Linked DNA regions of Lonchura striata. The protein of the gene in region 3 interacts with the protein of the main gene of each other region in a pairwise test. Links are inferred from orthologs where the notes say so. Each region holds a gene or a part of one and is shown on either strand. Other genes may lie near its edges.

What was found.
Region 1: the proteins of KCTD6 (region 3) and CTNND1 interact in binary tests that used the Homo sapiens proteins (3 or more experiments, as listed by UniProt). The two-hybrid records come from large-scale screens. The link is inferred for Lonchura striata from reciprocal best matches to the Homo sapiens genes KCTD6 and CTNND1.
Region 2: the proteins of KCTD6 (region 3) and EHHADH interact in binary tests that used the Homo sapiens proteins (3 or more experiments, as listed by UniProt). The two-hybrid records come from large-scale screens. The link is inferred for Lonchura striata from reciprocal best matches to the Homo sapiens genes KCTD6 and EHHADH.
Region 4: the proteins of KCTD6 (region 3) and GRB7 interact in binary tests that used the Homo sapiens proteins (3 or more experiments, as listed by UniProt). The two-hybrid records come from large-scale screens. The link is inferred for Lonchura striata from reciprocal best matches to the Homo sapiens genes KCTD6 and GRB7.

The regions. Positions count from the first base shown.
Region 1 is NC_134608.1:53,102,472-53,110,302, reverse strand, and holds the start of CTNND1 (catenin delta-1), read left to right. Parts: upstream 1-4,537; 5' UTR 4,538-4,603; intron 4,604-7,831. UniProt on the Homo sapiens protein: Key regulator of cell-cell adhesion that associates with and regulates the cell adhesion properties of both C-, E- and N-cadherins, being critical for their surface stability.
Region 2 is NC_134612.1:6,532,890-6,540,683, forward strand, and holds the start of EHHADH (peroxisomal bifunctional enzyme), read left to right. Parts: upstream 1-4,637; 5' UTR 4,638-4,663; coding exon 4,664-4,734; intron 4,735-7,794. UniProt on the Homo sapiens protein: Peroxisomal trifunctional enzyme possessing 2-enoyl-CoA hydratase, 3-hydroxyacyl-CoA dehydrogenase, and delta 3, delta 2-enoyl-CoA isomerase activities. Catalyzes two of the four reactions of the long chain fatty acids peroxisomal beta-oxidation pathway.
Region 3 is NC_134614.1:15,790,759-15,798,489, forward strand, and holds KCTD6 (BTB/POZ domain-containing protein KCTD6), read left to right. Parts: upstream 1-4,188; 5' UTR 4,189-4,262; coding exon 4,263-4,289; intron 4,290-5,488; coding exon 5,489-6,175; 3' UTR 6,176-6,889; downstream 6,890-7,731. UniProt on the Homo sapiens protein: Probable substrate-specific adapter of a BCR (BTB-CUL3-RBX1) E3 ubiquitin-protein ligase complex mediating the ubiquitination and subsequent proteasomal degradation of target proteins.
Region 4 is NC_134627.1:7,270,985-7,278,856, reverse strand, and holds the start of GRB7 (growth factor receptor-bound protein 7), read right to left. Parts: upstream 3,196-7,872; 5' UTR 3,180-3,195; coding exon 3,049-3,179; intron 2,952-3,048; coding exon 2,807-2,951; intron 2,143-2,806; coding exon 1,986-2,142; intron 1,905-1,985; coding exon 1,783-1,904; intron 1,716-1,782; coding exon 1,638-1,715; intron 1,547-1,637; coding exon 1,409-1,546; intron 1,325-1,408; coding exon 1,214-1,324; intron 426-1,213; coding exon 327-425; intron 1-326. Other genes in the region: MIEN1 (migration and invasion enhancer 1), read left to right, coding at 7,785-7,870. UniProt on the Homo sapiens protein: Adapter protein that interacts with the cytoplasmic domain of numerous receptor kinases and modulates down-stream signaling. Promotes activation of down-stream protein kinases, including STAT3, AKT1, MAPK1 and/or MAPK3. Promotes activation of HRAS.

The DNA.
Region 1 (7,831 bases), on a different chromosome or scaffold from region 3:
CCCACCCATTGTGGCGGCGCGGCGGGAGCGGCCCGGCCGGGGCGGCGCCGCGAGCGCTGGGAGCGGGGCTCGGCGCCGCCCCGCCTGCCGTGCCCGACCCCTTCCGCAGCCCTCCCCAGCCGCCGTGCCCTGCTCTGCCCAGGGCCGGAGGCACCGCTCGTGTTTTGTGGTGCGATGGCGGCCGCGCTGAGGGCAGCCTGGGTGCCGCCGCCGCCTGTGGTGGTGCTCGTCCCTCCCTCATCACCATCGGGCCCGGACACGACAGCCAGGCCAGGGCCGCTTATGGTCACTGCAGCGGTGGCACTGAAGAACACGGGGTTGATAATGGGGAAGGTGCTGTCTGGAGCATCTGCTGTCTGGAGCAGCTCTGGGTTCAAGGGCTCCACCTTGGTTTGGATTTTCAGACTCCACTGGGCCCTCGCGTGTGAGGAAGGGTGTTTTTGTGCCCCAGGCTCCTGAAGGGGAGGATTGATGGTGCTTTGGAAGGCATCCTTCAAGCAAGCGATGCTGCCCACTTAGTTTGAAAGTTTTTTGCCACGTTATAAAGCACCCATTGTACAAAAATCTGCGTCAGTCACTCCACACACATGAGCAAAGATTATAATCCATCCCCATTGCCTGGAGACAGTGGCTGTTCCTACAAACAACCCAAGTGGGTGGAAGTTTCAGGAGCTGCAGAAGGACAGGAGCCTGAATGTCGCCGTAGAGTTTAAATCTACAAAGTCTTCAAATGTGGTCTTGCAGAGGGATTTTCATCTGGTTGGACATGTGAGGGTGGTTTTTCTTCTCCGTTTTTGCAAAATGGACACAAACCAATGAAGAAAGTGGCTGGTGCCAGGCCTGAGCCAGAGGCCTTTGAGGTCACTGGCAGTCTGTCACTGCCCCCGGGTGGCTTGGAGCCCAGCCCGGAATACCAAGGGATGCAGAAAACAAGTAATTTCATATCAAAGTGCTATCATATGCTCATAAAAATAGAAGGAAAATAGAGATGTTTCCTCCCCCACCCCTTGCAATCCTGTGGAATTACAATGATCGGAGCTGTCGCCTGGAAAGCCTGACCTCACTGGGAGTGCATGGATCCAGATGCCATGGAGTGCCCTGTGACAGTGAGTGGGACCACAGTGGGACAGGGGGCAGCCACATTCCAGCAAGCAGGGGGGTTAATGTTTCAGCAGTAACCCTGTTAGGGAAAGCCCCCACTCCACTGTACCCCGACAGCTGCAGCGCTGCTCCCCCCCCACCACCAGTGGCCTCGTCTGCCCTTAAAATTCACTGATACTCAACTGGCAACCGAGCAACCACTCCCTTTGCAGGTACACAAAAGAGGCCTTTTATGAGTGTCATTTTTACTAGTATCCAAAGCCAAATAACACAGAGTAGAAAAATCACCAGCAGCCTTTTGTCCCATTCACCCCTCTCTCTAAACTCCATTTCTTCTACCAGATTTTCCTGGGGGAAAGTATGGGATTGCAGTTTTCACTGTAAATCGTGTCAGACCCTGAATCTTTCTGTCTATCTTCAGGTGATCAGAGGCTGCAGACCTGCAGCACAGCTGGTGTCCTTGGCCCTTGGCTGGTCGAAACCCTGGGTGACTCAGAGGGTTGGGAATGTCCAGCAGGGTTTATCTCCTGGTGGGATTGACTGCAAAGTGAGGGCAAGGCCTAAACTGTGCTGCCTGTTCAGGCTCCCTCTGCTATTGATAGGAGGCCTCCTCACAGGACAAATCTTGTCTTTACAGTGTCTCCCAAGCCCTCAAATCAGCAGTTTCTGAGCCAGTTTCTGGAAGAGAAAGGAAATTCCCTTCTCAATTCTCATAGCCGGGATCATTTTCAGCTATGTCGCCTTTGCCTGTGTTGCAGGGCAGGACCTGCCTCAGAGTCCCTGCTCTCCAGAGGGACCTTGGACCCTGCACAGTGGCAAAAGGGATGGATGAAGGCAAGATCTGAGGCTGGGAAAGGCACTGAGAAAGGAGAGAAGAAAGAGACTGTAAGTGGCAATAGATCCTTGTGGGGCTGGGGGGGAAGGAGATTTCTGTGCATGCTTAAGTCACGTGTACATTTGGGCAAAAGATGTACCAGGAATTTGACAGTCTGAGGGCATGACAGGATGCAGCTAGGCTGAAAGCAGGATGGTCTGTGGGCATGAGAGAGCCCAAGCACAGTGGGAGGCTGGTGGGAAGCAGGGACAACACCAAGCACATGGAGCTGCACTGGGAAGGTGGCAGGGTGGGCTCTAGGCTTGCTCTGTGGCCTGGCATCTTCCAATTGGAGCTGGAAAGCTCCTTCAGGCCCGCTTCCCTCCTTCTCCCCCCTCCTGGTGCCGCACTTCCCCTCGTGCAAGGAGGGCCAACAACCCGTCAGGATTCCCATAGGAAAGGGGCTGCGGAAGGGCCTTGTTATCCTGACCTGGAACAATGCAGGCCATCCCCTGAGCTGCCTGCGTGGACCTGGAGCCAGCAGCCTCCCCTTCCTCCTGCCCTCGGCCGCCGAGAGCACGGGCCTGCCTTGTAAACAAATTGTCTTGCTCTGTTCCGGTGGCAGCTGCACTTCTGGGCGTCTCATCTGGGAAAGGCATCAGCTGTAGGATGAAAGGGGATGTGCAAGATGTTATTACAAGCAATTACTGTAAAAGAGGGGAAACTTTCCCATGCTAGGAACACATCTCTCTTCTTCCCAGAACGCAGTGAGACAGGCTCCTCTGCCCCAGGAGTTATAGTCAAACAAGAGCATGATCCTCCAGCTGAAGCTGAAGGATCAGGGTCCAGCCTGCCTTCCAAAGTAAGCATGTGCTACCGGGTGTTCCAGCTGTCAGGGCAGGGCTGGGGCAGGGCCAGCCTGGATAAGCCCTGTGCAGCTCCATCCTGGGGACAGGAGGCACTTGCCCAGCGTCAGAGTCGTGTTTGTAAGAGCACCTTTAGCCTTTGAAGAGGGCATAGGGAGGGTGTGACTGGGCCAGGACCATGCATGAACCTCCGAGCCCCTGCTGCCCCAACTGCCCGGGCAGAGGCCTCAAAGGACATGTCATTGGTGCTGGGATGGAGGAGCAAGGTGTTTCTGATGCCTTTTCCCTGAGGGAGAGCTGCCCCTTGGGAGGTGTCAGGTGAACGAGGACTCTTTCTCCCAGAAGGAATTTTGAGAGCACCTCTTCTCCTTCCTTGTCTCTGAGACTCAGGGAATACACTCACCTTCCTCCTTGTGGTGGGCCAAGAGGAAGGGAGGGCAGATGGGGATTATTTCTAATCTGGGAGCTGTTCTCACTCAAGGTACAAGGCTGAGAGGGGATCCAGTTTGCTCATTTTGGGTGACAACAAGGATGAAGGGATGCAGAGAGAAGGTCTCACTCACTTGCTGTGGAATGGAGAGACCCTCTCCTCCCTGGGACATGTGGACCAGCTCTCCATCTGCTCCCAGCTGGTTGGATGGTCTATTTTACAAACCAAACATCAGGGAGGGTTTGGGGGTCCCCATGCCCCGATCATCTCCCTAGATGTTCCCTTTTTATGCATCAAATCCCATTTCACCTCATTACACCTTTCTGCACCACCTTTAGCAATCCGTACAGAGCTCTGGATCACCTCCTTCACACCTCCATCCGCAGGCTGTTATCACATCTTCCCTGCCTCCCAGTGCATATTTACCCCAGGAATCACCTGTCCCACCCAAAACCGTCCCCAGCTCTTTTCCTCTATCATTATCTCACTGAGAGTTAGGCAGACAGGAGCAGGCAGGGTTCTCCCCGGTCAGACACCTTCGGGGGACTTGGACTTCTCCCAGGTGAGCAGCCCGGAACACGCCGTGGGGCTGGCCTGGCGTTACTTCCTTGCCTCTCCGGGAAGGGGAAACCCTCCACCACAGAGGATGAGCTGTGGCTGGAGTCCCACCAGCACCTGCTCCCTAGGGCCAGAGGGAGGGAACGGGTTAACCTCCCGGGGACGTAGTGCAGCCCATCCTGCCAGGGAATCTCCCTTCTGGGCAAGTTCTGCCCTGTACAGGGTAAGCTGGTTTCCCGCCGCTCCAGAGGGACCGGCCGGAGGAGGCTCTACTCCGGGGGTGTCCCAGAGAGCCCCTTGGTGCACCACGCCGGGGCAGACCCGGACCTTGAGGAGGAGCTGGTCTGCTCCCGGGCGCCATGGTCCCGAGGTGGAGCCCATCTGAGGGCAGACCCCGGTTTGGAGAACATGCACCGCTGGGGCACATCCCACCAGGATGGAGCACGCGGAGAACACACCGTCCTCCGGCCAGACCCCACCGGGACATCCGCCCCGGCCCCGCCCCGGTCCCGCCCGTCCTTGTCGCGGCTGCTGACGCCGGGGGCGGCCCCGCGCCCGCCCCGCCCCGCCCGCCGGACCAACTTCCATTTTAGGTGCGGGAGCGGCGCGGGCGCACGGCGGGACCCGACCGACGCCGCGCTCCGCACACACCGCCCCGCGCCGCCCGGCGGGACCCGGCCTGACCCGCGCCGCCGCCGCACCGGGCGCCCGCCTCGCCTCTCGCCTCGCCGCCGCGGCGGGACCCGCGGAGCGGAGCGGGCCGGGCGGCCGTGCCGCCGCCGCCGCGGGGCGGGACCGCCTGCCCTCGCCCGTCCGCCGAGGAGCCCGGCCACGGTGAGTCCCGATCGCGGCGTCCGTGCCGCCGCTCAGGGGGCAGAGGGGAGGGAGCAGAGCCGGTGCGGGCCGGCGCCTGCCGGGCGCCGCACGCCCCCGCGGCGGCGGCGGGGCGGGACGGGCCGGTCCTCGCCCGGCGGGGCCGGATCGGGGCTTGGCCGCGCTCTCCTGCCGGGGCCGGTAGGTACCGGGTCCCTAGAGTCCCGTCCTGCCCGGGAACCCGTGCCAAGCGCGGCCGCGCCCCGCGGGACCGGTGGGGCGGCGGGGCCCGGCCCTGGCGGGGGCGCTGGCGGCGCCCGGGAGCCCGCGGGGAGCGACACAAAGGCGGCTGGGCCGGGCGGCCGCCCCGCTCCCCGCCCGGGGCCGCCGCCGCTCGCCCTGCCCGGAACAAAGGCGGCCCGTGTGCCAGCTTCCCGCGGCCGGCACCGGCGGGCCCCCCCGCCCTCGGGCGGGGAGCGGGGCTGGGTCCCTCCGCGGGGTCTCGGCCGAGGCACGGTCCGGCTTTCCGACTCCGCGTCCCGCCGCCCAGTTCGGCTCTGCCGCTCTCCGCAGGGGCTCCTCGCCCGGTGTGTCGTTCGCCTGCGCCTTTGTTCTGCCGGGGAAGGGGCCGGTGTGCCCGGGGGGGTCAAGTGTGCGGGTGGGGCTGCGGCTCCTCCTAATGGAATCGCTCTGAGCTTCAAAACAGCCCGACAGGCCCGTCCACCCGAGCTCACAAGCGACTCCGAAGTGCTTTCCGAGAGGCAGGACGGTGCCGGAGCCGACCTCGGGGGTCTGCTCAGCCGCCGGTTCGTTCTGAGTCTGCCTTGGCCACACTGTCATTTAGCGACAGCCCGGCTGCCTCCCCCTGTCCAGCGCTCGTCCTGCCTTCTCCGGTGACCGTCCCCCGGCATCGCTTTCCCCTGCACGGTGGGCGTTCCTATGCCTCTTCGGAGCGTTGCAGAGAAGAGACTTTGCTTGGGGTGAGAAAGTTTGCGTGCCTCTCAGTCATGAGGGCTGCTGGCATCTGCGAGGCACCCGCGCGCTGGCAGAAGGGAGGTGGGGCACCTCCGTTATGGCCCTGGGCTTTGGGCGAGGGAGCCTGGACAACAAAGCTTCCTCTGATTGTTGGAGAGAGCAGTGGACCTCCTGAAGTGCCTCCCTCTCTCCCCAAGGGCTTGGTGCCCTTGCCCTTCCAGGGAGCCAGTGATGATGGGGCTCACAGGGTGTTATTTTGGGGGCCTGGGCTGTCCTGTGACCAGCTGGAGCTGGAGGCTCCTCTCCCAGGCTTCTTCCCAGCTCCCGGTGAGCCAGAGAAGAACATCTGGGCACATGGAGTCATGTGATTGTATTGAACTGCAGCTACCTGTAGTTTCACTGATGCCCTCCCTGCACTGCACAGATGCTTTTGGACTTGACTGTCCAGGTCTTTGGTGTGGAGAATTGAGCTTGTCCTCAGCTTTGCAGGTGTGCTGGGATCCTGTAAGCCATGCTCGCAGCTTCTGTTTGGAGTTTCAGCTTCCATGCCCTCTCTCCTGGATGTGGCAAGGTAGGGTCAACAGCTGGCTGGTGACTCCCAGGCTCCTGCCTCTGCTGGAGCTCCTGCCAATGGAGCCGGGGCCATGTCCAGCAGGTCAGTGGCAAGAGCCTAGGCAGGAAAATTGTTAGTTGTCTTCCCCAGAGTTACCTTGTCTGCTCCATCCTGCTCCCAGGGCTTTCTTGAGGCAGGTTCTTCACCTGCTGGTGTTTGCTCATGCTCTGTCAACAGCATAAAGGCAGTTTTTAAGGATTTGTTCTTCCACTTGGTTGAGTTTGGCTGGACTCTTGAGTGTGCCGTTGACTGTCCTTTGCCGTGTGCAGCATTGCTGGAATCTCGTGCGGAACCTTCCTGGAAGCAGTGGGAGGATGAAAGCGCTCGCTCAGTGGAGCATGCAGGCTTGCCTGGACTGCCACAGAGGGCTGAGCCTCCTCCCTTCCGACGCAGAGGTCAGGGCCTGATCGTTGTGGTTGAGGAGCCCTTGAGGCCATCCCTTCCCTAAAGATGGGCTGGGAGTCAGATGAATGGTCCAGCCCAGACCGCAGAGCCGGTGTCTGTCCCTGGATTGCCTCTCATTTCTTCCCTCCTCCGGCCTCTGGCATGGAGATAAGACCTTGGCCCATTGTATCTGCAGTGGAGGTGGCTTTAGGACACCCAGAAAATAATAGTGTGGCTTGGATCATGCCTGGAAGGCTGTTGGCTTCTCAAAATAACTTACCAGTGTCTATGGCCTTAGGGGGAAAGTGCTGGGTAAAGCTCTTGGTTTCTCTTCCCAACAACCCCTCAAAACTGTCTCTCATTTACTGCTGGCAAGGACAGAGCCCTTTCCCAAGACTGTGGTGATGCTGTCTCCAGGGAAGTACAGAGCTCTCCTGGCTCTGAACATTTGTGTCTCTGCAGCACTGTGGCTGTGTCCTGTCCCTGCTTTGCTGACGGGGAGAAGCGGAACCTGGAGCTGGTTTGGGTCAATAGGAGACAACAGGTGTTGCCTGGATTTGATGACAAAACCCGAACCTGGGCAATTCAGGCACTCCTCTGTGTGTGACACAGGGCTTGGCCAGCGGAGGAGGTTGTCCTCTGGCACAGAGTTCAGGAATGTGCCTCAGTGCTAGGCTGTCAGAAAGGGGTTGGATTGACGGGCTCTCGACCAAAGTCCTCGATTTCTCTGAGGTGGCCACAACCTTCTCTTTGCTTTATATAATCCAAGGAGGCTTTTTGGGGGAGGAAATGGCTTCTTAGAGCAAGTTCTTGTCCTGGAAACCCCCAGCAGCAGGCTGATGAGTCTGTCCAGCTCCCGCCTGTCTTGTGCTTGTTGCTAATCCGCCTTCCTTCCCTCCAGGAAGGCTGCTGGTGTTGGTTTGGCACAGGAGTGCCTGTCCCTCTGCCCTGTCCAGTGACTGCTGCATGTGGGGCCTGACCTCTGGATTAATGGGCTTTGTTGTGTTCTTGTGTGCCTTCAGCCTGTTGGGGGGCTTGGGTATGGCAGTGGGCGCAGTGTGATCTTCCCGTTTCCCTTTGCCTGTGGAGGAAGCAACTTTTCCCTGTGAGAAATACTGCTTCCTTGTGATGGCCTCTGTAAGGAGGGGTGAGATGAGTTGGCTCTGCTGGGTGTGGGGGCAATCCAGTGACTAAGGAGCACAAACTGCCAGGCGTGGTACCAGGATGGGCCAACCCTTAACCAGGGTGCCCGTCACCTTTGCTTTCGTCTGCTCTTC
Region 2 (7,794 bases), on a different chromosome or scaffold from region 3:
TCATGTTAAAAAATTCTGGATTACACTCCCAACTTTTACTTCTCCCTCAGTGGAAATTGGAACAGCCACATCCAACACACCCTGATTTTCACATTAAGCAAGGAAAGGTCTTTGCTGCAGGTCACTGACAGTCTGGGAACAGTTTCCCAGAGAAACTGTGGTTGCCCTGGAAATATCAAAGGTCAGGTTGGATGGGGCATGGAGCAACCTGGGATAATGGAAGGTGTCCCTGCCCATGGCAGGGGGTGGGAATGAGATGAGCTTTGAGGTCCCTTCCAGCTCAAACCATCCTGTGATTCTATCACTCCACAGCATTCCTGCTTTGTCATGTATCATCCCACAAAGAATGTCTCCCCCTGCACAAGCAATACCACGGCTTGCCAGGAGGTGTTGCTTTGAAACCACGCAATTATAAGAGCTCAAAATTCATGAGGTAGGTTTGTAATATTAAAAAAAACCAACATACTTTGTTCTGGAAGGGAAAAATCGAGGTTTTACTTTTGAAATTACAATTTTTGTTTAAGACAATTTAGATCTACAATGCCCAGCATGGCATAGGGTGAGATAAATACTGAACAGACAACCCACTAGGTGGGAAATGCTGTGAGTTTGAACACTGCTAACATATCTGTCAGACCAGCTTGATGTGTGCAAAGTTGTCCATAGCTTTGTGTTTGCAGGGTTGGATGCTAAAATATACAGAAACACAGACCAGGCTTGATGCAGTGGGGAGTTTCAGAGCAGTAATCCTGGGTTTCAAGAAGCCAAGGAGCAGAGTAAAGTCTCAATAAAACAAAAGTCTTCCAAGGCCAGGTCGGACAGGGCTTGAAGCAACCTGGTCGAGTGGAAGGTGTCCCTGGCCATGGCAGGGCATGGATTGAGATGACCTCTAAGGTCCCTTTAACCCAAACCTGTCTGTGATTCCATGCTAACAGCTGTCGTGCTCACAGGGCTGTGTTGCTGCTCTCCACACCTGCACACACACATTTGAAACAAAAATGAGCTGTTTGCTTCTAAGGGGAATGCAGAGTTGGGTATGCAACTGTTCTCCATCTCCACACTAGTTTTTAAGTTATTAAATGTAGTAACAGGGGCAAAGTTAACAATGCATTTAATTATGCCCTGCCTTACTTTATAAGACAAAACAAAAAGCAAAGATTCCAAGACATTTGAAAACCTTTTTTACTACAGGAAAAAAAAAAAAAAATCCTCAAAGGATACCCAGTTAGGACAAAAAGGTTTTTAAATATGTCTTTATCACGTCAATCTAAAACAACCTTCATGGCTGACAGAAGCTGTGGCTCTTCAGCAGAAATTTAAATTCTGCAATAGGATGCTATTGCATGGCCCACAGTGTGCCTTGCTGTGTTGTTCTAGTTATCACACCTGCTCCACCTTTGTAAGGGCTCTCTGTGCCAGCCCTGAGGCACTGAACTCCAGCTCACTGAGGCTCTGTGAGGCTGGGTTTTGGAGACTGTTTGGAAAATAAACTTAAAATTATCAGAGGACACCTCCTAAGGGTGTGACAACCAAAGGAGACTCTGAAATTATTTTGTGATCAAATGTTTACCAGTATTGGCTTTTACCACACATGAAGGGGTCAGACAAAAATTACAAAAATTGCAGCTCTTTTTACAGCAGATAATAAGTGGGGGGGAAAAAGGGCCATAGCTGTAAGAGGGAAAGCCGAAAACAGCTGTTGGATTTAGCTGGCCCTCCTGTCTGTCATTTCAACAGCAAGGTATAATTCAGGCCTGAAGTTTAGACCAGCTGATGACAAGAACCAGTAAGTTTTTCAGTTTTCAGAGTTCCTGCCCCTCTCAGCACTGTGGCCATGGGCTTTACCACAAATCTCCACTCAGATTGCACAATACAGCTGATAAGACCTTCCATGCTCCCCAGAGGTCATTCCCATAGAAATACTCTACTCCTACAGATGGGACATTACTGCACTCACCTTTTCCAGTCTCTCTGGGTGCAGCTGTCAAAAAAGCATTTTCCAGGAATTTTTGTTCTGTGTGAATAAGGTTAGAGCAAATCAAGGTGCTTCTTATGGAGTACCTTGTATCACTGATATACTGGAATAAAAATGAAGCTGAGGCTCCTATAAATAAAGCATTTGTTTTTATCATTCAGCACTTCCTGAACAGGATGATGATCCCGGGGGCTTGCAGGAGACTTGATATATTTGTGTTGCTCCAGCTCAGAAAGAAGTAGGAATCTTTTTTTCCTACTATGGCACTTTCTGAGGGGTTCAGAAGACAAAGCACAACATTTCCATCCATTAAAATCTGTTTTTTGGTAAAAAATACCTTCATCCCCACTATTCCTGTCTCAGAAGCCTTTTTCCAGAGCTGGGTGCTAGGTGTATTTTCTGAGCATTATTCTCTAGTGTGTGGTCAAAAGACCAGTAATCAGAGGGATCTGGAATAGTGAGATGTCTTTTCCTCTGGCAGGCCTAGGGCTAGAGAAAGCTGCCACCTTGTCCTGTGGCTCCATAGCCCACAGCTGCTTTCCAGGGAAGCACAAACTGCCTGGCAGCCCCCGCACAGCTTTAGAACAGCAGGGCTGACAGAGGCTTGCACAAGCTCTTGGGGAGCCACACAAAAGCTGGAGGAACAAACTGGACCACCCTGGTAACATTTTGCCATGGTGAAGTGCACTGACAGGCTCTTCAACCTGCACCCCTCCCATGTGCAAGATCAGCTCAGATGTAGCAGAGCTGCAGAGCCTTGGTCTGATTGCAGTGAAAAAAAGCAATGCTGGAAGAGGAAAACACAGCCAGAAGCATAATTGGGGCCTGTACCATGCACTTCTCTTTCCCCATTGGTTTGGGATCTGGATTTAAGCTCAGGCCTTTGCACTTGGTCATTACACAACTTCCAAGACTTAAAATCTCTCTGCTGTATATACTGAAATTCATTTATTCTTCTTCTCACTACCAAACTCCATTCATCTTGAAGGAAAAAGGGAAAAAAAGACAAGCACAACCTTAAATATTACCTGAACTTTTCCATAACAATGTAGAACTTTCTTCTTTTTTTTTTTCCTATGAGCTCTCTTTTCCCAAGCACTGCTTTCTTCTGTGTTTATTCGAGCTTGAAATAGGGCTGTTTTATCACAACTACAGCAGTTGTATTATTAAAGGACAAATAGATCAGACCTGTAAATTATAAACACAGAGTACAACTTAGACTGATCTTTGGTTTCATTCTGGTTAATAAAAATTCGACAGACCAGCTAGCCCTCCAAGGCATCATTTACACAATTTTTATAAACTCCCAGAACATGCTGTTTACAAGCAAATGGCAGAGTATTATCACTAGTTTAGGGGGGTTTGTAACATTATATAATAAATGCCAGAAGAGCTGTAGTGACCCACCACAATAGGTGTAACAATAAAGGTTATATAAAAGCAGCAATAAAGCTTGCTTTTAGTGAAGGACCTTTCTGTACATGTAAATCAATTTCTAAAAATGTGTACACCTGTTCCAGACCAGGGAAAAACTGTAGCCATTCTGCCCAGGGACTGACTTTTAAAGGCCAAGAGACATAAAGGGGAGATTATAGATATATAAATAAGAATATAACAATGTATAGATGAGAATATTTTCTGTCCTTTAAATAACATTTTAAAGCAACAAATACCTGTTGTAACATTAGAAACTGTTTCCCCTCCCTACCTCTCAGCTCTTTTTACAGTGGCACTACAGCACTGAGCTGAGGGGCTGGTTTGAAGTGATGCCCGAGAGGACCAGAGGGACAGAGCTTGACTTGGAGCACACATTAAATTCCAGTGTTGTCCCAGAAAAGGTTCTTTCACCCAGTATACAAGATGCCAATCCAACACTAAGTCAAGGTGTTTGATTTATTTACATTTGTGCACAGAAAGAAGGCTGGGTAGCAAATCCACAAAGCCAGCATAACTATCAAAACTTTTCACTATTTATACATTTTAGCAAATGAAGGTATTGGTGTTCATTGGCTGCAAGTTACATCATTCTCTTATTTAGTGGTCTGTCTTCTACTGATTAATGATTCTCTCATTTCTCATGCTAATTAGGCCAGTCTTTATCTTCTTTTGGGTCAGTGGTTTCTTGGGTCAGTGGTCTGTGAGTCGCTGGTCATGACCTGCTCCTGCCAGAATTACCTTTTACCCAGTCAGGGCTGATTTCAGCACAGTTGCTGGGTTGGCTTTATTAGTTTCTTCCTTATTTTGGGGGTTCTGCCAAATGGCCTTGTGGCCTCTAAGTTCTGCATTCTGTGTGCCCACTCTCAGTGGCACATCACACACATCCTTCTTCCCAAGCATTGTCAACCTCCCGTAGGACTGGGATCATTGAAACACGTGGAGCCCCAGACCTTAACAAGGCAATTCTACCAAAAAGGTTTTCTCTTCCCAACGCCCGGACAACACTTAGAGCTTGTGAGCTGAAACCTCCTTTCTTGTTGATTAGGCTTGAAAGTTATAAAGATCAAACATTAATGAACAACCTTCCTTAAGAACAGTGTCCATACTGTGCATTTTGCCACCCCAGCAGAGGCAGCTCTCCGCCGGCCCGGGCCGGGGCCAGCCCCGCGGTGACCGGGCGGTGGGGGCGGGCTGCGGGCGGGGCGCGGCGGGGCTGGCCCGGGGACACGGGGACACAGAGGGAGGCTCGGCATGGCGCACTACGCGAGGGGCTCGGCCGTGGCCGTCATCCGGCTCTGCAACCCGCCGGTCAACGCGCTCAGGTACCGCCGGCACTGCGCGGGGAGCGTGGGCCTGAGGACACCTTAGGAGCGGGTGGAGGATTCTCCGATCTCCTTCCCTTTCACCTCGTTCCTTCTCTCCGAGCCCGAGTGAGGCTCGCCCCAGTGAGCCTCAGCCGGGACTTCTACACCGCTCAGTACTCGCAGAGTACCGGCGGCTCCTTCAGAGGTAGCCTGGATCTCGCTTTGCAAACAACATGCTGAACTTTGCCATAACTTCTGCTCTTTCTTATAATTTCTAGCTGGGGAGTTTCACAGGAGAGGTGCCAGGCTCAGCAAACCATACTTTCTGCCATCTTCGTGGAAGGTGTTTAAAAACCTTGCTTATTTCTCATCATTTTCCAGTCTTTAAACATCAAGACTGCTTCAGCAAGGCATAGCACAGCAGCGCTAGCTCAGCCTGGAGTGCCTTCAGTGCTGTTTGGTACAAGTCAGTCCTCAGATTTCCTGGTCTGATTGTCTGCCCCACATTGCTCAGTACTTGCCTGGCGAATCCTTGTGCTATCCAAGAGGGCAAAGGGCTCTGTGGGTATCAGGCATGGTTCAGCAAGCAGAGCTGGCACCAGGATTAAACTCAGCCAGGGCTATCAGAAAACAGTTCATTTGGCCTTTAAAAACAATTAAGGAATTGACCTCTAATTACTGATCTTGGTAAAGAAGGGCCCCATGCAATCTCAAACAGGAGCCAGTGAAAAATGAAGTCAAACACCAATCTGTAGGAGCCTCTGAAATTTTAGTTTTTCATGTGTCTTGAAAAGGACTTACGTGCTTTTGGCTTTACATTAGTTGTGGGGTTTAGTTCCTTTAGTTCTGAATAGCACATAAACCCTTTCTAAGCAGCTGTAGTTGTTCAGTAATAGTGACCACAGTGTCTATTCAGTCTGTATTCACAAGCCAAAAATAATCACACTGCAATTGTGCTTGATTTACAAAAGAGAAAGTTCGTTAAAAAGAAGCTCACGGAGACAAGTAAGAGCATGAAAAGGAGACGAAACATGATGTTCTTCTGTAGAAAAGCTACACTGTAACTGGCACTGGTCACTCTTCTGTTGCAACTTGTTTGGAAGTGGAATGAGAACATTTTCACATGCTCAGGTAATTACCATGAGAAACTTGGAGTGACTTGATGAGTTTAGATGAACCAGACACGTAAGACTCCCAGAACTGTATGGTGTAAGACATCCTTTGGACCTCCTGTGCCCAAGACTAGTCTAAGAAAACTTCCAGGCTGTGCTCACAATAAACTTTCAATCCTTATCATGAAAAATACAAAATACAGACCTAAAGAATCATAGAATTGCTGATGTTGGAAAGATCTTTACAATCACTGAGTCCAACCATCAGCAGTTACAGATATGTGTTTAGGAACCTTAACTCCCCTCTTTTGAGAAGTCCTGGAGAAAACCCAAAGTCACCTCTGCCTTTGAATAGCAACAGCACAACAACTTCTTCAGGACAGATCTCTGCCTTTACTGCCCTTTGCTCCTGGCCCTGCAGTGCCCTCACAGCAAGGTGCAGTTCTGGTACACCAAGGGAGACAGATTGTGTGGTTGTGGTCCTGTCCCTCAGTCCCACAGGGAAGAAAGAATATCCTGTAGACTTCAGATCCATTAAACTACAACTTGAGACATGTCGGTGGTCTTTGGTGGCATACCAGGGCAATACCTGTTTTAAAAGAGATCCATAATTCTCACACCCTTGCCATCAGGTAGGTGTTAGCTAAGATGTGACTACAGCTAGGAAAGGTACAGCACACTCTGATCCCTGGGTGCTCCTCCTGTTCCTGCACATTTCTGTACTGGACCACAGGAAGCAAGTTTCTTAGTGCTGTTGGAAATGTTGGAACTGCACAGGTGATAGCAGGCAGTGAAAGTTACAGACAGGAGCCATGCCCTGCAATCCTGAAAATTTCATTTCACAGCAGGCACAAACGCTTTTTAAGACTGGTGAGTTTTTGCTGCTGTACTCCAACCTTCCCTACCTGTCTCCATTATCCACTTCCCCCCTCCTGGGCCATCACATTAGCCATTAGCACTTTAGAAGCCAATGGTGGGCAGGAATTTGCTTTCTCCTGTCTGACATCATCCTCTGCTGGTACCTGCAGTGCTTTTCTGAGAAATGTGTGCTGACTTGAGAGCCTGGCAGCAAATTCACTTCCCACACAGACTCCCCTTTAAGCTAATCACTCTCTCCACCAGCAGAAGTGGCATGTGCCAAATTGCATTTGTTTGGAGGGCTTTTTCCTGGTTTGCAGAAGTTTAGTATTCAGAGATCTGCATTTACAAGACCACGGCATTGAGAGAAGGGATCCAGATATGCAAAGAACTAGGAGGTTTTTAGTAGCAGAAAGACAAGACTTGCAAAAGGAAGGACTGACTACCCCTTCTCAGCAGAGGCAGGCCGCTGGCACCGGGAATTAGAAGGACTTTAAGGAGTATTTCAACATTTAAGCTGACAAGGACAGAAAAGCTCCAGGGAGGATAGGGGAGGCCATGCAGTAGGGCAGCTTATGTGTGGGATTCTATGAAGTGTGGCAGCATAACAGGTTTGATTGGGAAAAGCTCTCCCTGGCTGCCAGGGTTATCCTTCTGACTCTGATCACCTTAAAATTCAAAAAATGTAAAGGGAATGAGAGAAGCTGCAGATTCAGACAGGTAGCAATGAGGGGAGAATGTGATCACCCACAGATCAGCACTTCACCAGAATGAGATACAGAGAGAAAATTCTGGGATCAATAAGCATCTGCTTCCTCAAACAACTATTCTAAAATTCCAGTCAAAAGATGCCATTCTGGCTCTGGCCTTAATTTACGTGTGGGACTGTTGAAGCTGCATTAGCAACTTGTCACACAACAATATGTGACAGTAGCTGCTACACAGCTGGATCTGACACTGAAGCAAGGGAGAGCAGAGCAGGTAACTCCAGCACAAAAGTCCTCAATTTCAAGTAGGGGATTATGTAACACCCAGCAGTTAGTTCAAAGAAAAACACTGCAGGAAGCTATCCAAAGGAAAAGGAGCTTGTGACAATGGGAGAGCCTGA
Region 3 (7,731 bases):
ATGGAAACTTCAGGAGCTTGGAATTCATAGTGAAGCAATTAAACATAAAGGAGTGAAAATGTTGAGTGGCTAGCGTGAGTGTTTTTCCATCCTGCCTGAGGTAAAGACTGTGTATTAGTAAAAAACAGGTCAAGAAAAGCAAGAGCTAAGTTAACTTCTAATAAACTGCATTAGTCATGATAAACTTGACATGTGTTGAAGGCGGTAGGTGCTTTCTTTAGTGAAGCTGATCTCCTGAATTGCCAGAAAATTTGGTAACTGGTTGTTTTGAGAATGCTCCTCCTCCTCACTCCCTGGTTAGGGTGGCACAGAGCTGGAACTGTGCTCTGCAGACCATCAGCTCACTCTAGTTTGGTGGAGAACAGTCAGCACTGGTGCTGCTCAGTGTTTGTCAGTTCAGGTGAGTCACCAATAATTTACAGTAAGAACTTGCCTCTCAGATATTCTGACTGGCTGGGAAAGAGAGAGCTTGTCCCTGTACAGTGTAACTGTGCTGGTAGATGGAGTTTCTTCTCATCTTGTGAGATCTAAGTGTGAGAGGCAGGGAGCTCACAAAGGGGATGAGTAGCTGAAATGCCAAGTGTATGTCAGAGTTTTACCTTGCTCTTTTTCATTTTAAGTTGCCACTGCTAGAATTACTTCCATCTCTCTATTGACATAGGAATCAAAGGTAACTCTTGAGGTTAAACAGCCTGTGCTGTAATATTGATACCAGACTGCCCATGAAAGATGTAAATCCCTTAATTCTTTTGTTTGAAGAACTAGATGAAGAACATCCAGAGCAAATCAGGTGATCTGTGCCTCTGGACTTAGAACAGCTTGGTGTATTTCTGCTCCTCCTTTAAGTAACTGCACGTTGCACCATGGAGTGCTGGTAGCCTGTAGTCCCAGCAGTGTGAATGCCTGGCAGGGCTGTTGGCACCCCCTGGCCTGGCCCGAGTGTGTGTGTGTGTCTGTGTGTGTGTGTCTGTGTGTTTTCCCAGATGCAGACGTTCATCTGACTCTTAAATGCTTTCTTTGAATTTCAGCTTGCAAACTGGTTTGCAGCTCTGTTCTGGGAGAAGCCCTGCTGGAGTTAGTGGCACTACCTGTTGCAGCAGTGTTGCTGATAAACAGCCTTGTAATCCTCTGAGTCATAACATATGAAATAAGAGTGAGTGTTTTATAAATGCAGGTATCCAGTTTGGTGTGTTGGGTATAAAGTGATGACCTGAGTGCTTTTCTTGCTTCTCACCATGCCATTCCAGTTCTGGCTGTGCTGGGCTGTGGCAGGAGCCCCAGTGACCGTGTCACTGCTGTGTGTCCTGTCCCTGCACGCAGAGCAGTGTCACGACAGCAGGACTGTGGTTTGACACCATCTGTGCACTTCTGCTCCCACCAGAGAGGGACATCCCATTTGGCTGAACTGTGTCAGCAGTTTGTTTGACTGAATTTCACTTTAAATATTTTTTGTGGTTATCAAATGTAGGCTGCCTTGGGATATGACTGTGTGTCATCTGTAATTTGCTGTCTGGACAGGAGTAGCTGTGTTAGCAAGCTTGTCCCTGCATGCAGTCCATTGGTGTGTGACACAAGGACAGAGCTGGCTTGAGGCTGCCTGTGCTGAAGGATGGATGGAGTCTCTGCCCACCCCCACTGATGATCACTGTATCCCATTCAGGAGGATTTAAAGCATCATTGAAAGGGCACATGTTATGAAGGGTGTCCATCCTCAGCCTTGCTGTGATGTGGTTGGTGAGTCCTTAGCTCAGGTTGTCCCCAAACTAAGCTACTTTCACCTCTGAAGTTGTCTAGAAATTCAGAGCTCCCAGGCTGATAAAGAAAGTAGTGAAGAGTTGGGGTCACACTCGGGCATTTTAGGATGACCTCCTGGTATCATCCTTTTGTGTGGCACATCCTGCTCCAGCACTGGTTTTCCAGGGAGGTCTGTGTGTGCCTTGTGGTTCTGGGTCCTTACACAATGGTCACAGGGATTTCTCCATGCCCCTTCTGTGTTGAGGGCTAGGTTTGTTTCAGATGATTGCTCTTGTAAATTTTTTACTCCACAGTTACACAGCAATGCTGTGATCAAAGACTAAAGCATGCCTTTGCACTGGCTTGCAGTGGCTCTCTCTTTCCCTGATGAAGTCTTGATTCATCCGTACTGGACTTACATGCTGACCAAAATAACATCATATTCACTAGTTAAAATAACACTGATGGACATCTCTGCCTTTGAAATATTCTGGATGTGTAATTTGAGTTAATTTTATTAAGACTGCAGATCTCTTCTGTCATGATTACTGGTGAGGTTTCTGTCTGGCTGCATCATTTCACTTTCAAGTGATTATCAGAAACCTGTACAGTCTCATATGGTTTTAATGCATCTACATGTCATCCTCATCTTGTACTTGATCAGGATAACACATTCAAGTGCTAGAATTTAAAAGGTCTGGTTTATTGCTAAAAGTTTACAAACTGTACTTGAGTGACAATTCCAAAAAAAAAAAACCCCAAAACCAAAACCAAACAAAAAAACCACCCTCCAAACAAACAAATAAAAAAGTCCAAACCCAAAAAACAAAACAAAATGAAACAAAAAATCAAACAGCAAAACCCTGAAAGAATTCACTTCTTGCTTTTTGAGGAGTTAAAAAAAATAATTACAGAGGTTGGCAAAAGAGCTGGCGTTCCACGTTTATCTGCTGTAGGGGGATGTGCTTTAATGTACTCTCTTGAGGCATACTCTGTCTCTAATTTGTAAAAATAGGATCCTGGTATGACTTGTTCTGTACCTTAGTATTCCTTAGTCTTGTGTTGTCTGACCTCACTATTTTCATATACTGATTTTGTTTTTTTCACTCTTTAATCCACCTGAGATGCAGCTGGGGCTGTGCTTGTGCTGCTGGGTCCCAAAGACCTGACCTGCTGGACACTGTTTTGCCCAGGCTGTGGATTTGGGCAGGGCAGCAGGGCACAGAGAGGTGGGATGTGCTGTCTTCTTCTGTGGTGAATGAAGCCAACCTCATTTCCTAGGAATGAGAAGGGCAAGTTATCTTTTTTTGTTTGGGAATTAATTGTGAACATTCAGTTGTCTTGGAATGTGGGGCTCTGGCTTGGCTAAATCTTTTTGCTGCCTTTAGCTGGGGTGGCTGTATGTTGAAGTTTGTTAGTAACGAGGATGGGACCAGAAGTCTTGGGAACTGTGTGGTCTTTTAAGATGTAAAAATAAACAAAGCTGAGAAGCTCTACCCTACTTAAAACAAGCTGACCTAAATTTTCAGCAATTCTAGCAGAGAGGCAGGCTCTGGGTAGGGATAAAGGCTTACTGACAACTGGCTTCCCTGTCCTTCCATCGCTTGACAAGGTTGACAGGCCACCTTTGGCAAATCAGCACTGGAGTCTGAGGTCATTCACTTCCCCCTTCTTAAGCTGCCAGCCTGGCTGTGGATTTGCCTTGTGCTCCTGTGGACAGTCCCCTTGTTATGCAAGTCAACAGTTCAGCATCTTCTGGGAAGTCACAGCATGAATCTCTTCTCAAATTGCTTTTGTTGGAGTGTGTTGACAGCATGTTAGATGTCCTTTGGCTTGTCCCTACAGAGATTGCTTTTGAGAGTAGGCGTCTGGAAAGTCCTTTCATACTCTTTGTCTGTAGATTAATGTTCTTGCTATCAGTTGCAGTTCTCCACTACTGAATTATTAATTCTGCAGTGAGGGATTTTTCTTTTTAGTGTTCATTGACTTTCATGCTCAATTTATTTTTCTGAGCAGTTTGAAACTGGAGCATGGGAATGTTGACTAATATTAACGGATCACTTGTGTGACCTCAGAGGTGGCTAAATAAACTTTCTTAATTGGGAAAATGGCATCTGTCTTTCAAAGTACTCACAGTTTCCCAGGTGAAAGGTTGCTTGTGAACGTGTATTGCCCTCAGAAGCACATTGCTTGTTTTTCAAGAAAACTGGGATGTTCAGGCAACCAGTGGAGTGGTTACGTGTGCTCCAGAGACAGTCCTGTAGGTAATGTGATGGGAGAAGGAGGGAAAAGAGGGTTTGCAGATTCTCCTGCTAGTGTGACTTTGTAGCTGAATGTTTTCCTGGCAGAGAGCCTGTCTTTGATTGGAAAGCATTCCCCTTGGTGTTCTTGTAGGTACTGATGGTTTGCTGTTTTGTTCTGTGTTTGTGTGTGCTTTTTCCTGCAGGAAGATAAGAGGAGAGGAATTGTGTATCCTTTCAGCAGCCTTCTGTTAAACTTGGAATATCACAGCTCAAGCACGTGAACAGATGGATAATGGAGACTGGGGATATATGGTGAGTGCAAGTGTGCACTGTGCACTACAACTGGGCTTCCAAGGTCTTGCAGCAAGAATCCTTCCACATCTGCCTTGTGTAGATTGAGCTTCAGTTGTGAGAGAAGGAAAACTATGCCTGTTAAAATAGCTTTACAACAGCTTACACACCTTCCCTGGAGTGCTGCACCTCCTGTGCCATTTGTGGGGAGTGCCCAGGTTCACATTTGCTAGGGACAATCAGCCAGGACTGAACTGATGCCTTGAGCTCCCTGTTACCGTTTTCCTAACAAAAATGCTGAAAATAGTTCATGCTTTTTGCTTATTATTTTAAGGATTTTTGTCATTTTATTTATCAAGAAAAGTATTTTTTCTTGTAAATCTTGTGTTAAACTAGACAAGCACATCTTATTTTTCTCCCCTTCTCATTCTGCTGCCATGCATATGTCTCTTTTCTCTGGCTGGCTGCAGTCCTGGTTTTTAGAGTTGGTGGCCAGATGGGATTTATGTTCCTTTCTCTCTTGCTTCCTCATGTGCTATCTGGAATCTGATGCAGACTGGTTTGTGCTCTGCTCCCCACTTCTATGCAGCATGCTAATTTGTTAATAAATATTTCTTTTTAGAATTAAAAGCTGAAAGTTCTTTTTCTCCCTTGCCTGTTTTAACGAAGCCTCTGAGCCGAAGTGTGGATTATTTTGATTGTGAGCTCTTGGTCCCCTATGTTTAAACCTGCACTGTCTTCCTCTTTTGAGGGATAAAAAGAGGCTTAATGTTTGTTTGGCTTTTTTTTTTTCCCTGTTTTTTTGGTTTTGATTTTGTTCTAGAATGAGAGCCAGATTGTGAAAGTAAGGAACATTGCTGGTCCTCATTCTGACTAACTTGTTCTTCAGGAAATTTCTCTTTTCTCATTTCCCCATCTGTAGAATAGGAAAAAACTTGCTGCCCGAATGCTAAACTTGATCCTGCAACAGTAGCTCAGTTGTTAAGATTTCTAAAGCATTCTGGAAATGTGCATTCTGCATGCTAAGTACCATCCTGTCTAGTTGCCAGTTGTGCCTTGTTGCTAGGTGGCTTGGATTTGTTCAGGTTTGAACAAATAGAGGCGTTGAACAGAAGTGTGATTTCCCCCCAGTTTTCCAGCAGTATTTGCCAGGTGTGTCAGCAAGGTGATCGAATCTTCTTGTTGGGGCTTGATAAACTCTGCAATTTCTCTCTTTCTAGATGACTGATCCAGTCACGCTAAATGTGGGTGGACACATGTATACGACCTCCCTCACAACTCTAACGAGATATCCTGACTCAATGCTCGGGGCCATGTTCAGGGGAGACTTCCCCACTGCCAGGGACTCTCAGGGCAATTACTTTATTGACAGAGATGGACCACTTTTCCGTTATGTTCTTAACTTTTTAAGGACCTCAGAGCTCACTTTGCCACTGGACTTCAAGGAGTTTGACCTGCTCCGGAAGGAAGCAGACTTCTATCAGATTGAACCCTTAATTCAGTGTCTTAATGACCCCAAGCCGCTGTATCCTGTGGATACCTTTGAGGAGGTGGTGGAGCTGTCCAGCACCCGGAAGCTTTCCAAGTACTCCAACCCGGTGGCTGTGATCATCACGCAGCTCACCATCACGACGAAAGTCCATGCACTACTGGAAGGCATTTCAAACCACTTCACCAAGTGGAATAAGCACATGATGGACACCAGGGACTGCCAGGTGTCCTTCACCTTTGGGCCATGTGATTACCACCAGGAAGTGTCGCTCCGAGTCCATCTCATGGAGTACATCACAAAGCAAGGCTTCACGATCAGGAACACCAGAGTCCATCACATGAGCGAGCGTGCCAACGAAAACACAGTGGAACACAACTGGACTTTCTGTAGACTGGCACGGAAAACAGATGACTGATTCTGACTCCACAGGAGCCACTTCAGTGATTAGCAACTTAATTGGGCAGTGTACCCAAGAGAGTCTGGATTTTGACTAAAGCAACAATATGGGCTTTTTTTATACGACTATTTATTGTTTATCAGTGAGGACTGGAGGAGTTCCATTCTCTAGCAGCTCTGTTCTTTTGTCCAGTTCAGAAAAAAAACCGTGCATGTGCCTGTTCAGTCAAGACACCTTTTTGTTTGAAAGAGGGAGTCCGAAGAATCAGTACAATAGGGTATTTTGTGTCATTAACACAATTCTCTGACTCAACTCAAAGTGCTAAAATTACCTCTTGTTTAAATTGTTTCTAATTCATCTAATGCTATGACACTGGGAGCAAGAAACAAAAAGATTTTAAAATGCAGTTGGGGAGAAGCTGCTATTGTGTAGACTAATTTAGTTTCTAAATCAATAAACAGTATTGTAATATTCTAGGAAAACAAATCCCACCCTTTAAATGTACTTGATAAGTACAGTTTCTTACAGTTATGACAACTGTTTCTTTCTATGCATATAAATCAAGCAACCAAATATTATCTGTAGCCATGGAAATATGATTACAAATATTTATATTGGATTCTAAATGCAAAATGTCCCTGTGGTAGAATTCATATTTTTAATGCCTGGTGCAATATTATTCCCAAGTGTAATGCCTGCCAGAAGAAGCTAATAAAAATGTGAAATACAGAATACTGTTTTGTATTTTCTCTTTGTCTTTTAGAATTTTCATACTTAAAAAAGCCAACCAAACAAAAAGCCTCCCACCCAAATTCTGGTTTTTGTGCTGTGGAGTAGTTTGGGTGTTCTGGTAGGGCCCTGGTTTCTTCAATTAATGATGTAATTTGTTCCTTTTTATGTTAATCAGTTGATTAAAATGTCATTATAGACAAAACTTGTGTTCTGAAAACTGCTTTAGTTTGATAGAAAGATGGCAAATATTTGTACTGGTTAAAGGGGTAGGGATGGAGGAAACACAGGGCCTAAATACTTGTAGCTGCTAATAGAGTTGCCTGGTTTGTCAGCACTTTATGTGGTATTTTATATATATAAATTCCAACTGCAGAATGCTTTTAATAGTGATGTTGAAGTCAAGGCACTCAAATTCTGTGGCTTTACTTAATTTCATACAGACATTTCTACTTATCCTGGTCCTTTTGTCATAGTTATTAGTAGAATTTCTGGTTATGATCTAACTTGATTGCAGCTGGGAGTAAGGGCGTTGGTATCTGTTTCATGGAGTAGATCCTGTTCTCCCATGAAGTTCTTGTCCCAAGTAAGTGGGAGCTTTCCATCCCATATCTGGCTCTAAAGGCTGTCTTGGGGGGTATTTCTCTGTCGTATTTTGTCTCTTCCTGTTCATACATTGCAGGTTTTTGACTTATGCAATAAGAGGCAGCAGGGAGAGATTTTTTTCTTGCTATCAAGGAGGAAAGAAGCAGAACTGATGAAGCTCAGGAAAAGTTGTTTCTTTCTTACAACACATGGTAAGAAATATTCGTGTTAACTGGCATTGAATTATAATCACAAGATGT
Region 4 (7,872 bases), on a different chromosome or scaffold from region 3:
GCGTCACCTCATCATCTTTGCCATCCCCCCAGCATCTTTGCCGTCCCCCCATCGTCTTTGTGTCACCCCATCATCTTTGTGTCACCCATCGTCTTTGCCATCACCCCATCATCTTTGCCATCACCCCAACGTCTTTGCTGTCACCCCATCATCTTTGTGTCACCCATCATTTTTGAGTCACCCATCATCTTTGCCATCACCCCAACGTCTTTGCTGTCACCCCATTGTCTTTGTGTCACCCCATCATCTTTGCCATCACCCCATCATCTCTGCCATCCCCCCAGTTCTTTGCCGTGCCCCCAGCGTCCCCCCGGCGCGGGGCTCACCTTGAAGAGGCGGAAGGCGGCCACCCAGCAGCTGCGGCTCTGCTCGTCCTCGCTGCAGAGCAGCTTCAGGCCCTTGGCGCCGCTCCGCACCTTGTGGGGCTGCGGGAGAGGCCGGAGCCGTCACGGGCTGCTGGAACTCCAAATGTCCCTCAGACATTTTTGGATGTTCCAGGCCTTGGTCAGAAGCATTCTAGACCCCAGCAGGCAGCTGCAAACAGCTGTGGTTTTGAGTTTGAACCATGGAATGAATTACCAACTTTGGAGGTGGAACAGTCACAAAGGGTTAGATAGGATAGTAAAAGTAGTTACAAAACAGAGGGGAATTTTTTTTAGTATTGTACAGGGGTTTTAGCACATGTACAGGGGGGTTTTCACTTTGTACATGGGGGTCAGAAGTTCTAAGATGGAGTAAAGTGGGCTGATCCTGTTCTTCCTCCTTCTTCTTCCTCACCTCCATGTTCTGGGTGAGCTGGCACTTATGGATTGGTTTAGAGTAGAAAAGCACTTTGTAATATAGGTAGTAGGTATTGGGGAAAAACTATAAACATGTAATATGTAATATATCATATAAAAGATAGCAGCAGCCCTGGGTGGGGAGAGAAGACACCAGAGAGGATGTCAGGGTGTGTGTGTGCCTCTGCCTGAGCTGCTGAGCAAACTGCAGCAGCAAGAGAAGAAAATCTTTTAGATAATTTACAATAAACTGCCTTGAGACCGAACAATGAGAAGCTGCTGAGCCTTTCTTTGGAAGCACGGGTGGGAGGAGAGACTTTTCCACCACACGAGACCCCAGAGCAAGCCCGGGGTTCTCACAATGAGGCAGCCCCAGGTGGCTCAGAGGTGACAGAGAGCCCTGGGCAAGGACCACAAGCGGGGACCATCCCCACCTTGATGCAGAAGCCGAACTCGGTGGGCGTCCCGTAGAGCTTCTTGCCCTGCGTCATGTAGTAGATGTTGGACTCGGTGAGGTCAGCGAAGTACTGGAGGTGCCGGGGGTCCTGGGGGGCGGCGGGGGGGTGTCAGGGCTGGCCCCGCTGCACCCCCTGGCCGTGCTCCCTTTCCCCAGACCCCCCTGCCCTCACCTTGGAGGTGCCCTTGGTGGAGTAGTAGAGCCCCGAGCGGCGCAGGGAGAAGTGGAAACGCTTCCAGACCTTGCGCCCGGCCTCCCGCAGGTGCAGGAAGCCCTGGACCTCAGGGCAGCTGCCAGAGTTGAGGAAATTCTGGGGGGGAAACACGAGGGCTGAGGGGCACGGCGGGGTCCCCGGGGCACGGCGGGGTCCCCGGGGCACGGCCGGGCGTGCTGCCCCATACCTGGATGAGCTCGGAGTGCGCCATGCTCTTGTTGGCCTCCAGGCAGCTGGACACCATCACCTCAGGGAACAGCAACTGCTGGGGGACCGAGGGTCAGCAGGGACCCTTGGGGTGCTCAGGGGGGTGACGGAGGGCGCCCACCTACCGCGTTGCTCTTGAAGAGCTCGTACTTGGCAAAGTTCTTGCGGAACACGAAGCGGCTGTCGGCGCCCGGGGCCCAGGAGCTCTGCACCTCCACCACCGACTCGTGGTCCTCCAGGCAGCGCTCTGGGCGGGGGGACACGGGGGGTCAGCAGGGTTTGGGGGTCCCGCGGGCCGTGCCCACGCCGTGCCCCCACGGGCGCTCACCCAGGGCCAGGTGCTGGTGCAGCTCCACCAGGGCCCAGCTGTGGTCGTGCAGCGCGCGCGTCCTGCGCACCAGCGTCTCGCAGAGCTGCCGCGCCGTGGTCGCCGCCGAGGCCTCCAGCGAGCGGCACACGCCGTCCTCGCCGAACACCTTCACCACCTGGGGATGGGGGACGGGGGGTGTCAGGGCTGCCCCCAGCACAAGGGGACCCTGCTGAAGCACAGAATGCCCACCCCACCTCCCGCTCCCCAGCTGGTGTGGGAGGCGGCTCCTGTCCCCTCCCTCCCCAGAGTTTTGACTCATTTCAGAGGTGGTTCCTTCCCCAGCGTTGAGGTCCCTCTTTCCAACCCCTCGGCCCCCTGGCTTAGGATGGTGGGATCTCTGCAGAGGGCTCCCTGTCCAAAGGCTGGGACCCCATCCCAAACCCTCCGTGGGAGGAGGTTCCAGCCCCAGAGCTGAGACCCTCCACTCTCCCCAACCCCCTGACTCCCACTGGCACCTTCGTGGGGAGGTCCCTGTCCCAAAAACCCCCTCCCCAGCCTGTGCAGGATGTCCCTGTCCCAAACCTCATCCCCCCGTCCCTTCCCAGCCCCTGACCCACATGGGGGGTGCCCTAGTGGGGGGGGTACCTGCCCCCAAAACCCCTCCTCAGCCTGTGCAGGGTGTCCGTGTCCCAAACCTCATCCCCCCGTCCCTTCCCAGCCCCTGACTCCCGCTGGTGCCCTCGCGGGGGGTCTCTGCCCCAAAAACCCCCTCCCCAGCCTGTGCAGGGTGTCCGTGTCCCAAACCTCATCCCCCCGTCCCTTCCCAGCCCCTGACTCACATGGGGGGTGCCCTCGCGGGGGGGTCCCTGTCCCAGGGCCGGGCTGCTCAGGATGGGTGAGTTGGAGGGGCTGCAGAGCTCGGGGAAGGGGTTGGGGATGCTGGGCAGCGACGACGCTCGTGGCTCCTCCGGTGGCGGCTGCCGGCTGCAGGCACGGGGGGGCTGGGTGAGCTCTACGCCCCCTGTGACCCCCCCCGAGCACCCCCTTCCCCTCCCCAAATCCCCCCGCGGCTCACACCCACCTGCTGCCGTGGATGAAGAGGGGCTGGGAGCGCCTGACCTCGGGCGGCCCCTCGCCCCCATCCCGCTCACCAGGACCCCCATCCTGCTCGGGGGGCTCCCAGAGGCTGCTCTGCTGAGCCCCCCCGTCCATGGCATTATCTGTGGGGGGGAGAGAGAGAGGGGGTCTGGCTCCGTGGGTTGGTCCTCGTTCCCTCGGGAGGGTTCATGGCTACATTTGCAGGGGGGTGAGGACACCACCCCGGGCTCCATGTGGGCTCCCACCCCTGGCACCCACCCAGGGGTGTTTTCCCGGTGCCCAGACAAGCCCTGGGGCTCTGGCTGAGCTGCCGAGGGTGTCCCCATCCCCCCAGTCCTGTCCGGGTGCTGTGGGCTGAGACCCCCCCAAGAATCCCCCACATCCCAAGTGGGACCCACAGCAGGCTCTGGGAGCAGCGGGCGATGCCGGGCTGAGCTTTGCCAGGCCGAGCTTTGCCAGGCCGAGCCGTGCCGGCGCCGAGGAGAGAAGGAAGCCGAGCGCGGCGGCGGCGGCGGCTCAGCCCAAACACCTCCTCGGGTCCGGCCAAACCAGTTCTGGCGGCCGCTCCCAGCTCCACCTCACCGCCCTGGCATCCGGGCCCGGGCGGCCGCGCCGGCAGCCGGGGGCGAGGGAGCCGCCGTGGGAACCCCCCGAGCTGGCACAGCCCCCCCGGCTCCCCACCCACGCCCCGCTGCCGGCGCCCACGCGGTGCCACCGGGGCACCGGGCACCGGCTCCGGTACCGGCTCCGGGGGCAGCGGGGATGTGCCACGGCCCCCCCAGCACATGGCACGCGTAACACACACGTGGCACCCACGGTGGCACCCGGCGGTCCCGGGACACCGGGCAGAGCCGCGTTAATCATTCGCCCGTCGCTGCGCCCACCTCCCGCCGCCTCTCGGGTCCAAGTCCACGGCTGGGCAGGGCTGATGGCATCCCCGTCCTGTCCCTGTCCCCGTCCCGTCCGTGTCCCTGCAGTGTCCCTGTACCCATCCCTGCCGTGTCCCTATCCCTGTCCCCATCCCGTCCCTGTCCCTGCAGTGTCCCTGTCCCATTCCTGTCCCCATCCCTGTCCCATTCCTGTCCCTGTCCCCATTCCTGCCCCTGCAGTGTCCCCATCCTTGTCCCTGCCCTGTCCATGTCCCCATCCCGCCCCTGTCCCTGTCCCAGCCATGTCCCCATCCCCATTCCTGTCCCCGTCCCTGCCCTGTCCCCATCCCTGTCCCTGTCTCCATTCCTGTCCCTGTCCCCATCCCTGTCCCCATCCCTGTCCCATCCCTGTCCCTGTCCCCATCCCTGCCCTGTCCCCATCCCTGTCCCTGTCTCCATTCCTGTCCCTGTCCCTGCAGTGTCCCTATCCCATCCCTGTCCCTGTCCCCATCCCTGTCCCTGTCCCTGCAGTGTCCCTATCCCATCCCTGTCCCTGTCCCATCCCTGTCCCTGTCCCTGTCCCTGTCCCCGTCCCTGTTCCTGTCCCATTCCTGTCCCTGTCCCCATCCCTGCATCCCACCAGGACCCTCTGCTCCCCTCCGCTCCCTGCCCCGGCTGTGCCAGCCCTGTCCCCCGTCCCTGGGCAGACCCCGGGGCCATGTGGGGACACGGGGACAGCCAGGGGTCCGGCAGGGTGACGCTGCTGGTGGGGCACAGCAGGATACAGGGCGTGGGGAAGGTGACAGACGGGGCCCTGGGGCTGGGACACGGCCCTGCCACCAACCCTCGTGGCCTCAGGTCACCCCGGGGTGAGCCCGGTCCTGGTGGCCGTGGCAGGGTGGGGACACCCAGGGTGGGGACAGCCAGGGTGGGGACACCCAGGGGACAAACAGGGTTATGGGGTGGGGGCTTGGAGGGGGTCAGGACCACCGGGATGGGCCCCAGGGCCACCAGGGCTATGGAGCAGGGGGTGCAGGGCCACCAGATCGAGGGTGCCAGGGCAGGGGGACGGGATGGCAGAGCCACCAGGGTGAGGGAGGGGATGGCAGGGCCACCAGGGTGAGGGAGGGGATGGCAGGGCCACCAGGGTGAGGGGGTGGCATTCCAGGGCCACCAGGGTGAGGGGGTGGCATTCCAGGGCCACCGGGACAGGGGACAGCGTGCCGGGACCACCGGGCTAAGGAGCAGGAGCCCAGCTGTGGGTGGGGGTCCCGGGGGTGCCCGGGGTGGGGGGTCAGGGCTCCCCAGGGCCGCAGAGGCAGCAGAGGAGGCAGGGCGGGGTGGCTGAGGAGGAGGAAGAGCCGGGAGGAAGGCGGGAAGGGGCGCAGGGAAGGGAAGGAGAGCTCCGGGGTGGTTCCCGGCAGGATGGGCACGACACCCCGGGATGAGCAGAGACCCCCCCCCCGGCTCCAGGAGCCCCCAGGCCGGCCCCGCTCCTACCTGCAGCTCCCGGCGCGTCCCGCAGCCTCCCGCCGGAGCGGGGATTCCTGTTCTCCCCGGCTTTATCTACCTGCGCCTGCCCCCGCCCCCGCCTGACATCACGGCGCCCCGGGCCTGCTGCCCGGTACCGGCCCCCCACCGACACCCAGCGGGGCCCCCCAGCCCCCCACCGGCCCGCTGCGGAGTGTCCAGCCCGGCCCCGGGGGGCTGCACCCCCCAAACGCACCCCCCCGAGCTGGTGATGGGGAGTTTCCCACAATGCACCGGGGTGACCCCTGGGGCAGCGGGGGGGTCTCGGTCCCCTGGGATGTTCTGGGGGGTGAGGGTCCCACAGACCCCCCCGGTCATGCTCCGAGAGCCCCCAAACCCCTGGGACCCCCAAAGCGGGGCTGGAAGGGTCCCACGGCGGGCGGGGGGTGTCCCCGTTGTCCCCTGAGGGACCCCTGCAGTGGGACCGTGGGGTGGGGGGTCGTGGGGGTCTCTGCGGGTCAGGGACCCTTCCAGGAGGGTGGGGGGCGATATTTGGGATATGGGAACGCAGTGGGATGTGGGGTCACTTAGAGGCTCTGTGGGGTCCCTTGTGGGTGTCCCCTTGCGGGGTGACCCCACCCGGGGTCTGGGAGTCCCCACTGGGGTCTAGGGGTGCCGTGGGGGTCACAGAGCACCTAAAGGTGTCCCCACGGAGGGGTTCGGGGGGGGATGTGGGGGTTCCTATTGGTCTGTGGGGACAAGGCCCCACAGAACCCCCGCGGGGGTTTTCATTGTGGGTCCCACGGAGCAGCGGGGGAATTGAGAGCTCCCGTGGGGGTCATTTCAGGTCCCACGGGTCCCGGAGGTCACCGTGGGTCCCGTCTTGGGTGACACAGGGGTCACTGAGGTCATTGAGTGTCACACGGTGGGGGGGTTGCGTGTCCCCCGTGGGTCTGGGGGGTCACTGCAGGTGACACGGGGTGAGTTTGGGTCACTTTAGGTCAGTAGAGGTGACCTGGGGTCACTGTGTGTCTCACGGGGGTCACTTAGGTCATTGAGTGTCACACGGTGGGGGGGTTTGCGTGTCCCCCGTGGGTCTGGGGGGTCACTGCCGGTGAGTTTGGTCACTTTAGGTCAGTAGCGGTGGTCTGGGCTCGCTGTGTCCCGGGGGTCCCGCGGGTCCCGGGGGTCCCGGGGGTCATTGAGTGTCACACGGTGGGGGGGTTGCGTGTCCCCCGTGGGTCAGGGGGGTCACTGCAGGTGACACGGGGTGAGTTTGGGTCACTTTAGGTCAGTAGAGGTGACCTGGGGTCACTGTGTGTCTCACGGGGGTCACTTAGGTCATTGTGTGTCACACGGTGGGGGGTTTGCGTGTCCCCCGTGGGTCTGGGGGGTTACTGCCGGTGAGTTTGGTCACGTTCGGTCAGTGGCGGTGTCCCGGTGTCCCGGTGTCCCGGTGTCCCGGGGTCCCGGGGTGCCGGTGTCCCGGTGTGCCGGGGTGCCGGTGTCCCGGTGTGCCGGGGTGCCGGTGTCCCGGTGTCCCGGGGTCCCGGGGTGCCGGTGTCCCGGTGTGCCGGGGTGCCGGTGTCCCGGTGTCCCGGGGTCCCGGTGTGCCGGGTTCCCGGGGTGCCGGTGTCCCGGTGTGCCGGGGTCCCGGGGTGCCGGTGTCCCGGTGTGCCGGGGTCCCGGGGTGCCGGTGTCCCGGGGTGCCGGGGTCCCGGGGTGCCGGGGTCCCGGGGTGCCGGTGTCCCGGGGTGCCGGTGTCCCGGGGTGCCGGGGTCCCGGGGTGCCGGGGCGCCGGGGTCCCGGGGTGCCGGTGTCCCGGGGTCCCGGGGTGCCGGGGTCCCGGTGTCCCGGTGACCCGGGGTCCCGGGGTGCCGGGGTCCCGGGGTCCCGGGGTGCCGGTGTCCCGGGGTCCCGGGGTGCCGGGGTGCCGGGGTGCCGGGGACCCGGGGTCCCGGGGTGCCGGGGTCCCGGGGTGCCGGTGTCCCGGGGTCCCGGGGTGCCGGGGTGCCGGGGTGCCGGGGACCCGGGGTCCCGGGGTGCCGGGGTCCCGGGGTGCCGGTGTCCCGGTGTCCCGGGGTCCCGGGGTGCCGGGGTCCCGGTGTCCCGGGGTCCCGGGGTGCCGGGGTCCCGGGGTGCCGGTGTCCCGGGGTCCCGGGGTGCCGGGGTGCCGGGGTGCCGGGGACCCGGGGTCCCGGGGTGCCGGGGTCCCGGGGTCCCGGGGTGCCGGTGTCCCGGTGTCCCGGGGTGCCGGGTCCCGGGGTCAGCGCGCTCCTCCCGCCGCGCTCGGAGCAGACGAGGCGGGCGGGGCAGAGCGGCCGGAAGTGCCGCGTCACGTGACCGAACCCGGAAGTGGCGGCGCGGCGGCACCGGGGCCATGAGCGGCGGGGCCGGGACCGGGACCGGGACCGGGGACGGGGACAACGGGGCCGAGCGGCGCGTCCGCATCGTGGTGGAGTACTGGT